Elephas maximus indicus: one gene and its partner. The protein of the gene in region 1 interacts with the protein of each later gene in a pairwise test. Links are inferred from orthologs where the notes say so. Each region holds a gene or a part of one and is shown on either strand. Other genes may lie near its edges.

What was found.
Region 2: the proteins of LMO2 (region 1) and TAL2 interact in a two-hybrid assay, tested with the Homo sapiens proteins (2 studies listed by BioGRID and IntAct). The link is inferred for Elephas maximus indicus from reciprocal best matches to the Homo sapiens genes LMO2 and TAL2.

What each region holds. Positions count from the first base shown.
Region 1 is NC_064825.1:89,121,966-89,125,716, forward strand, and holds the start of LMO2 (rhombotin-2), read right to left. Parts: upstream 2,340-3,751; 5' UTR 2,219-2,339; coding exon 2,212-2,218; intron 2,089-2,211; coding exon 1,848-2,088; intron 1-1,847. UniProt on the Homo sapiens protein: Acts with TAL1/SCL to regulate red blood cell development. Also acts with LDB1 to maintain erythroid precursors in an immature state.
Region 2 is NC_064827.1:55,199,433-55,203,183, forward strand, and holds the start of TAL2 (T-cell acute lymphocytic leukemia protein 2), read left to right. Parts: upstream 1-954; 5' UTR 955-982; intron 983-2,944; 5' UTR 2,945-3,072; intron 3,073-3,716; 5' UTR 3,717-3,726; coding exon 3,727-3,751.

The DNA of each region.
Region 1 (3,751 bases):
CAAGCCAATGAGTGAGTGGAATTTACCCTTAATGTTTTATATTCCCTTAGAGCCTATTCTGAATATTGCACCAGAAAATTACTTCAGCCTGGATTTCTAAGATAATTTATCACCAATTTCTGAGAACGATAAAAAAGGATGCCCCGCATCATTTCATCAACTATCTTGTCCATCTTCACTTAGAACCCGTCTTCATTGGCCAAATAGTGAAGCAAAGGATGGAGGAGGTCAGCATCCTTCAGTGGGTGCCTGCTATGTTACCAGGTTGGATGCTTCAATTTTCTAATCTCAGTGAAAAAGAACAAACTTTGAAGAGAGCAAACTTCCTTCAGGGAACTGAAACCTCCACATTTATCTTCTAATAAAAGGATTAGTGACTCACTTCTGCTGATCGAAAGGGCATTAGGCACCAATGCATCCAATTCACTCTCTTATTATTGTATTGCTGTGGTCTTGTCCAGTCTCTGAAAGCTCAGGGCTAAATTGTCATTCTGGGCTTGTAAGAAAGTAAGCAAACCATTGTTTGCATAGTTATGGACTTTAAAGTAAAGGAATGTTATTTTTCTCCAGAGAATTTGTTTAAGGAAGCTTGAGTTTTTGTTAACACAAACGTAGATCCTTATAGACTGGTGTCTTAACCTTCAAGATTGAATAGTGATGTTTATATTCTCGTTGGATGGAGGCACTTCCTGTGTTTTATGAGAACATACTGAGCTTTTATGTTGGTAACTCAGGGTAAAACCCAGGTAAATAAACAGTGGAGGGCTGAAATTGGAGGCGGGAGACTTCCAGCAGGAAAGCACAATTCTTTTAAGGCAGGAAAAGAAAAAACAAAACAAATGCCTCTTAAAAGCACAAATGGACAAGTCATTAACCAGCTCCTTTGGTCTGTGTCACAAATCCCTTCAAAGGATTAGCCAGGGACTTCAAAGGAATAAAAATTCTCAAAACCAGACAACTAATGAATCTTTAAAGGGCATTAGCGTTAATGGGAAAATGGTATCTTAAACCACATTTTTCTCCCCATGTTAACACCAAGGAATGGGTTGGGAGTGTAGGTTCGAAGTGGGAAACACTCGAAACCAGTAAAAGGTTCAGAAAACAGATGCGACAAATACTCATTAGAGCCCTGGTTCCCTGACTCCAAACCCGTTTAAAACTACAGTGCAAACCCTGAGACTCCTCTCTCCAGAAAAATTCACCTATACACAAAATGGTGCACTGACTTTTAAGGGGTGGGGGTTACATGAACCCAGATTAACTCTGGATTTGGCGGCTCTAGAAGCCTCGAGGCCAGGGCGTGCTCCTAGGTGGGCGCTCAAACCCCTCACCCGAGGTCCAGCGGCACTGCTAGCCGCCACTCCGCCTGCGGACTGGAAAGGGCTGTCGGGGATCCCGGACACCTCCACTTGGAATGTCCCTCTTTTCAGGATCAAAAGGACAAAGAGAAAAGCAGCTGGGAGCGGACAAGAGGGGAGAAGGGAACAGAACCGAGCCCTGCACGATCTCCGAACAGCATCTGCGCCCCTCTGAGCTCCCCCCTGGGCCTAACCCTGTGCAAACTTTCCAGCTCGCGGCCGCTTCAGAGAGCGTCCCAGGCAGCCGGAGGGGTACAAGGAGGTGCCGAGCCAGTCCCCTCTCCCTGCTGCTCTCTGCCCAGTCCCTCTTGCAGGGTCCCCGGGGCTACCCCGTGAGAAAAAGAGAGCCCTGCTCAAGGCAGAGAGAGCCAAGGGCACGCTGCGGGCGCGCACCTGGAGCCCCCTCGCGGGCTCTTCTCACCACCCTGCCGCCCCGGAGCTCGAGGCCGTGGACACCACGGGTGGCGGGGGCAGGAGCGCCACACTTACTCAGACGGGTCCAGGCTCTTCCTCTCGATGGCCGAGGACATTGGGGAGGGAGGCGGCGTGCCGGGTGGCGGGGGCACTCCCTTTGTGGCGCGGGGCTGGCCGGCTACCGGGACTCGGACCCCCTCGGGTGCTCGGACGCCGCTGCCGCTGCCGCCGCCGCCGCCGCTCCTGCGCCTTCTCTTGCTCCGGCGCTCCGGAGGCGAGCTCGCCCCTCCGCGCTCAAGGACAGTCACCGCGCTCCCTTCAAACGCCAAAGAGAGAGAGCGAATCACCGGGCTGCGGGCGCGCCACGGCCGAGGATGGGGCCGGGGCGCGCAGCCTGGCCCTGGGCGGCTGAAGCAGCAGCTGCTGCTCAGGACTTAACCTTCCATCCCGGTCCCGCCGCCGCCGCCGCCGCCGCCGCCGCCGCCGCCTCCCGGTCCCGCTCGCGCGCTGTCGCCGGCTTCGCGCCGCCCGCGGGGATCGTGCGCGCCGCCCGGTGCCCGGTGCCCCTCGCACCTTCGGCCCGGGTCGCGGCGCGCAGCTCGCCGCCGAGAGCGGGGCGGGGGGGGAGGGGGTCGGGCAGGGGGCTGTGCGTCTCCCCCCCGGACTCCCTCCTTGCTCGGGAAGGTCTATTTTCGCTCAGCTTCCCTCTGTCTCTGGTTTCATTTCCTTTTTCCTGATCACGATTCAAATACAATAGAAGGAAATCACATTTAAAGAGACAGCTGCCCGCCCCCCCCTTCTTCTTCTTCTTCTTCTTTTTTTTAAACAGGGCTCCAGGGGATTAGCAATACAAACAGCAGCAGCCTCAGGACTGACTTGGCTTCTTAAAGGGGCAAGCATAGGGGATCGGAAGAGTCACTTCGGAAACACCTCTCCTTGGAAAGGAGACCCGGCTGCCTCGAAATCCTTCCTTAGGGCACCCACTCTTTCACGTTCCCCTTCTGGCTTAACTGAAACTAAAGTAACCAGTGGGCCGCTCAAGGAAGAAATAAAAGACAAATGTGTGAAATAAGCACATACAGAAACGCCAGCTTTCGGAGTGGCTTTCGCGCCTGTCGGGGGTTCGAGGTCCCAGGTCCACTGACGCCGGGCGCCGGGATGCCTGGGACAGTGCGGCTCTGCTGGCTGCCGGCTGGGGACTGCGTCCACGCTCCAGATATGCAACTCGAGCTGTGCAAGCAGGGACCGCACGGGCTGGGTACGTCTGAGCGTGCCAGGGGTAGCTAATCCCGGAGGGAGGGACTACGCTGGTCCAGGTCTCCTCTCCATCTGCCGGCGGTAGAATTTTCTCCCTCAGCATCTTTCAAAAGGCGACTGAGGCGGACGCCTGCGGTTTAACTGGCCCCGTGCAAAGTGTCAGTAAGTAATCTGTACAGAGAAAGCGCTTTTCCAATGACCAAGAGCAATAGGGAGCTCATTTTGTCCAGGATCAGTGAAGGGGAAAGAAGCCAGATTTGATGCTGGGGTTAGTTCAGGTCTCCCCCCAACCTTTAAGGCAAAGTCTAGGAAGAGTGAGGAATGCAGAAGGAGACAGGAGGACCAACAGAGTCTGCCCTCTGTAGAGAACAAATTTGGTTCCCCTGGGCCTCAAACTTCCTTGGAAATGTCTGCCTTCAAAGCGATTAAAGACCTATTTGTGCATGAAGTGATGATGTCAGCCATAACCCCAAAACACCCAAACCAGTTGGGGTGGAGTAGATTCTGACTCATGGTGACCCCATGTGTTGTAGGGTAGAACTGGCTCCATAGGGTTTTCAAGGTTGTGACCTTTCAGAAGCAGATCACCCCGCCTTTCTTCCAAGGTGCCTCTGAGTGTGTTTGAACCACCAACCTTTTTAGGTTAGTAGTCGAGTGCTTAATTGTTTGCACCACCCAGGACTCCTGTGCCAGTCATAAGTCTTGTAAAAAAGGAAACTATC
Region 2 (3,751 bases), on another chromosome or scaffold:
GAATGCCAGGGTTAGGTTTCTCTGCTCTTACTGCCCCTATGCTTCCCTCTTGAGTCTCACATAGCAACAAAGTCCTCGGGGGCTGACCCTGTGTCCTGTTCGTCAGTATCCCCAGCAGCCAGCACAATATCTGGCACAGAGTAGGCCCTCAGCAAGCGTTGATACCAAAGTTTGGAGTGTATCTTGTTGTAATTGGACTATTGGTCAAACTGGGAGTGTGCCAGATGCTGCTCTAAGGTGCTGTATGTGTACCATTTCCTGTATCAATAATACAGCAAGGTAGTATCCTGAGTCTCCCTTTACTTATGAGGCAATTGAAGCACAGAGAGGTTAAGCAGATCGCTCAAGGTTACACAGCTAGGAGGAGTAGAGCCACAAGCCAAACCCAGGGTGCTGGCTCCACAGCCTGTTTTTTTTTTTTTTTTTTTTATAACCACAATGTGATGCCTCCACTAATGGCTAAATTCTATAAAGACCCCTATAGATTCAAGGCTTGAGGGTAACAGAGTGAATTGTTCCAGTTAACTGGGATTATCATTTGGTTCCTACCAGAGGATAATGATACCAGCATACTATGCAGTGAAATGACTTTTTGAACAAGTCTGCATCCCTGAGCCATTGCCAGCAATGTTTACAGTGGTGTTATTACAACCACCGCTATCTGCATACGTATATAAGTTAATACATGAAAATGGTACCTGGCACAAAGCACATGTACTGTCCACTCTTATTTTCCTTACTGTATAGTTTAAAGAGTGCTTTCACATTCAGTGTTTCATTTAATTCTTACAACAACCCTGTGAGGAGAGAATGGTTTCATTACACCCATTTTAGAGCAGAGGACTCCGAGGGTCAGGATGGTGAAGTGGCTTATGCAGAGCCTGAAGACTGGTTGGTGACTGGTGCTGCTACTAGAACAAGCCTTCTGGGAGAGAGTGGGCTTTCCCCTGATCTGTGCTCCCCTGTAACTTCCTCCATGATGGTAGGTCTCTTGTATGTGAGTATCCTGGTTTCTTAAAAAAAACGGTTTTCCTAAGGATAAGAGTTTCCCCATTTGGAGAGCAGAGTGGTGGTTTTCAACTTTGGCCACACACTGAGCTCACTTGGCATGTCAGCCGTGGAGGACGCTGCTTGGATCTCGCTTCAAGAAAGAACTTGCCCTTCAGCTGCAAGGAGGGAAGTTTCTTCAGCCTCCAGCTGCTGCACCTTCAGGATCCGCCTCCGCTCTTCCCAAGCAGCCTCCAGCCAATGACTGAGCTTGGCAGGAACACCAAGAACTTTCTGCCCAATAGGGTTTCCTCTGACAGGCATATTTGCCTCAGAGCTCCCTGGTGGGTTGACCGTATCTCAGGCTGAGGCTCTTTCTCACCAATCCTGCTTCCCTTTTACAGGCCCTACCCCTCAGTAAACCACTTGTACACCCAACTCCAGCCCATTTTCTACTTCCTGGAGGATCCAATGGATACACCTGGGATGTTTTAAAAACTACCGATGCCCCAGAGATTTTTATTTAATTGGTCTGGAGTGCAGCCTGCGTGATTCCTATGAGCAGCCAAAGCTGAGAACCAGTGGAATAGAGAACAGTTGAGAGACAGGAGTTGCTAGTGTTTTAAATTAGAAAAAGACCTGCTTTCTCACAATTCACTGGAGTCTCAACAAATCATTTCTTTAAGTTAATTTCAAATAAAATGGGCCCACCTTTTCCCACCATGCATACAAATTCCTAACCCTCCAATTCCTTCCTGCAAGGTGGCAGGAAGCAACAGGTGTGAAGGAAGCTGGCATTTGGGAGGGGCTGGGTGGCACCTATTGAATTTCTGGGATTCTACGTGGTGCCTTATATAACTTAGATATGAAGGGCGTTTATCCACAAGCCCACATCCTCATAAAAACCCAGATAAAAGTAAAGGGAGGCAGAACTTAGGGAAAAGGTTGATGCCATTGTCAAGATCATTTTAGTCCCAGCATGATTCTTTTATACCTTCCTCTAGTCACCAAGAGTTGTTCTGGATTTGGCACTTTGGGTGTGGGAATTTGTGCTGTGATTTTATGTGTTTATGTTTGTGTAGCCTCCTCCACAAGACTATACAATAAACTTGAGGACAAGGACCCTATCCGAGCATGTCCATAATCCCAGCTCATAGCACAGGCCCTCATAGGCCTTGGCACAGAGTAGGTACCCAGTGAAGGTTAAAACAAAAGAGCAAAGTCACCAAGAACCAAAGGTTGATAGCAGGCTTGGTTAGAGAATAGTAAGATATCCTCTCTACTCCCAAGAATGTTCAAATACCCTATAAGTCATTTTTATTTATATTTATGATTTTATTATAATTATTTAACAAATGCTTTTAAAATGGTTACTATGTATCAGGCACTGTTTTAAGGGATTTACAAATATGAACTTACGTAATTCTCCTAACAACCTTGCTCTACCACCAAGGGCCACAAGAGTTCAGGGAGGGGAGGGCTCAAAGAGTTCTGGGATGGCCTGGATGGCTTCATGGAAAAGGAAGATTTGAGCTTCTCTAGACAGAAGTAGACAGGAGCGTGGGGAGGGAATTTAAGGTACTGAGAATGCTCTTGCAAGGGGGTAGAGGTAGGGATATTTACTGCTCTTTGGGGAAACTGCAAGGTGCCATGGGAACTGAGGCCAGGGAGCAGGCAACAGACTGATAGTACTGAGCCAAGAACACCCAAATATCAGGTACTGGACTTTGTTCTTGTTTGCTGATGCATCATTAATATTCACATTGATGCATGTAAATCAAAGCCCATGCCTCCAAGAGGTAAAAATGAATAATTAAGACTCAGTGATATATAATGATAAATAACCCTCCTAGGGGTGGAAAGATCATCCAATCCAACCTCACAGATGCTAGAATATCTTCTACAGCATCCATGCCAAATGGTCATCTTCACCTGCTCCTTGTCTTTTCTTCTTCAGGCTAAACATGTCCAGTTTTGTTCTTCATATGACATGATCTCAAGAACCTTCATCATCTTATTCATCTTCCTCTACTGTGGATCACTCTGAATATTTTACCTCTTACAGAGAGGGGCCTGATCCTCCAGGTGAGATCTGCCAGCTAAGAGGAGAGCTGTGCTATCATCTTCTTTATTTCAAATACTACTTTATTAATGAAACCTAGGATCACAGCCTTTTTTTTTTTTTTCCTTAAGAATCCATAATACACTGTTGATTTATATTCAATTCCTGTTGGCTAAATGGATCCCTGGCAGCTTGGTGATTAAGAAATCGGCTGCTAATCAAAAGATTGGCAATTCGAGTCCACCAGCAGCTCCTTGGAAACGCTATGGGGAAGTTCTACTCTGGCCTATAGGGTCACTATGAGTCGGAATCGACTTGACAGCAATGGGTTATTGGCTAAATACCTATCTTTATTCATGTATGTACTCAAACCTATATTGTATGTTGTATAGGATTCTGAGCAATTAGAAAGAGTTGGTTGTAAAAGAAGTAATGGGGGTATCCAGATAAAATACCTTTGAAACTGGATGCTTCAAAACAGCCAGGGAGAAAAAGGCTGAAGGGTATTGTTCTTACTCTGTCCTTCCTTTTGCCACATTTTCTTCTCTTATCAAGAGGAAAATGAGGAAATGAATTCCAAAAATCTGGTTCTTGGCAGGACCTGTGATATCCCCAGGCCTCTTTCATAAATGTTGCCCATTGGGGCCCTTTTTCTTTCCCATCTCAGGTACCCAAGCATGACCAGGAAGCTCTTCACAAATA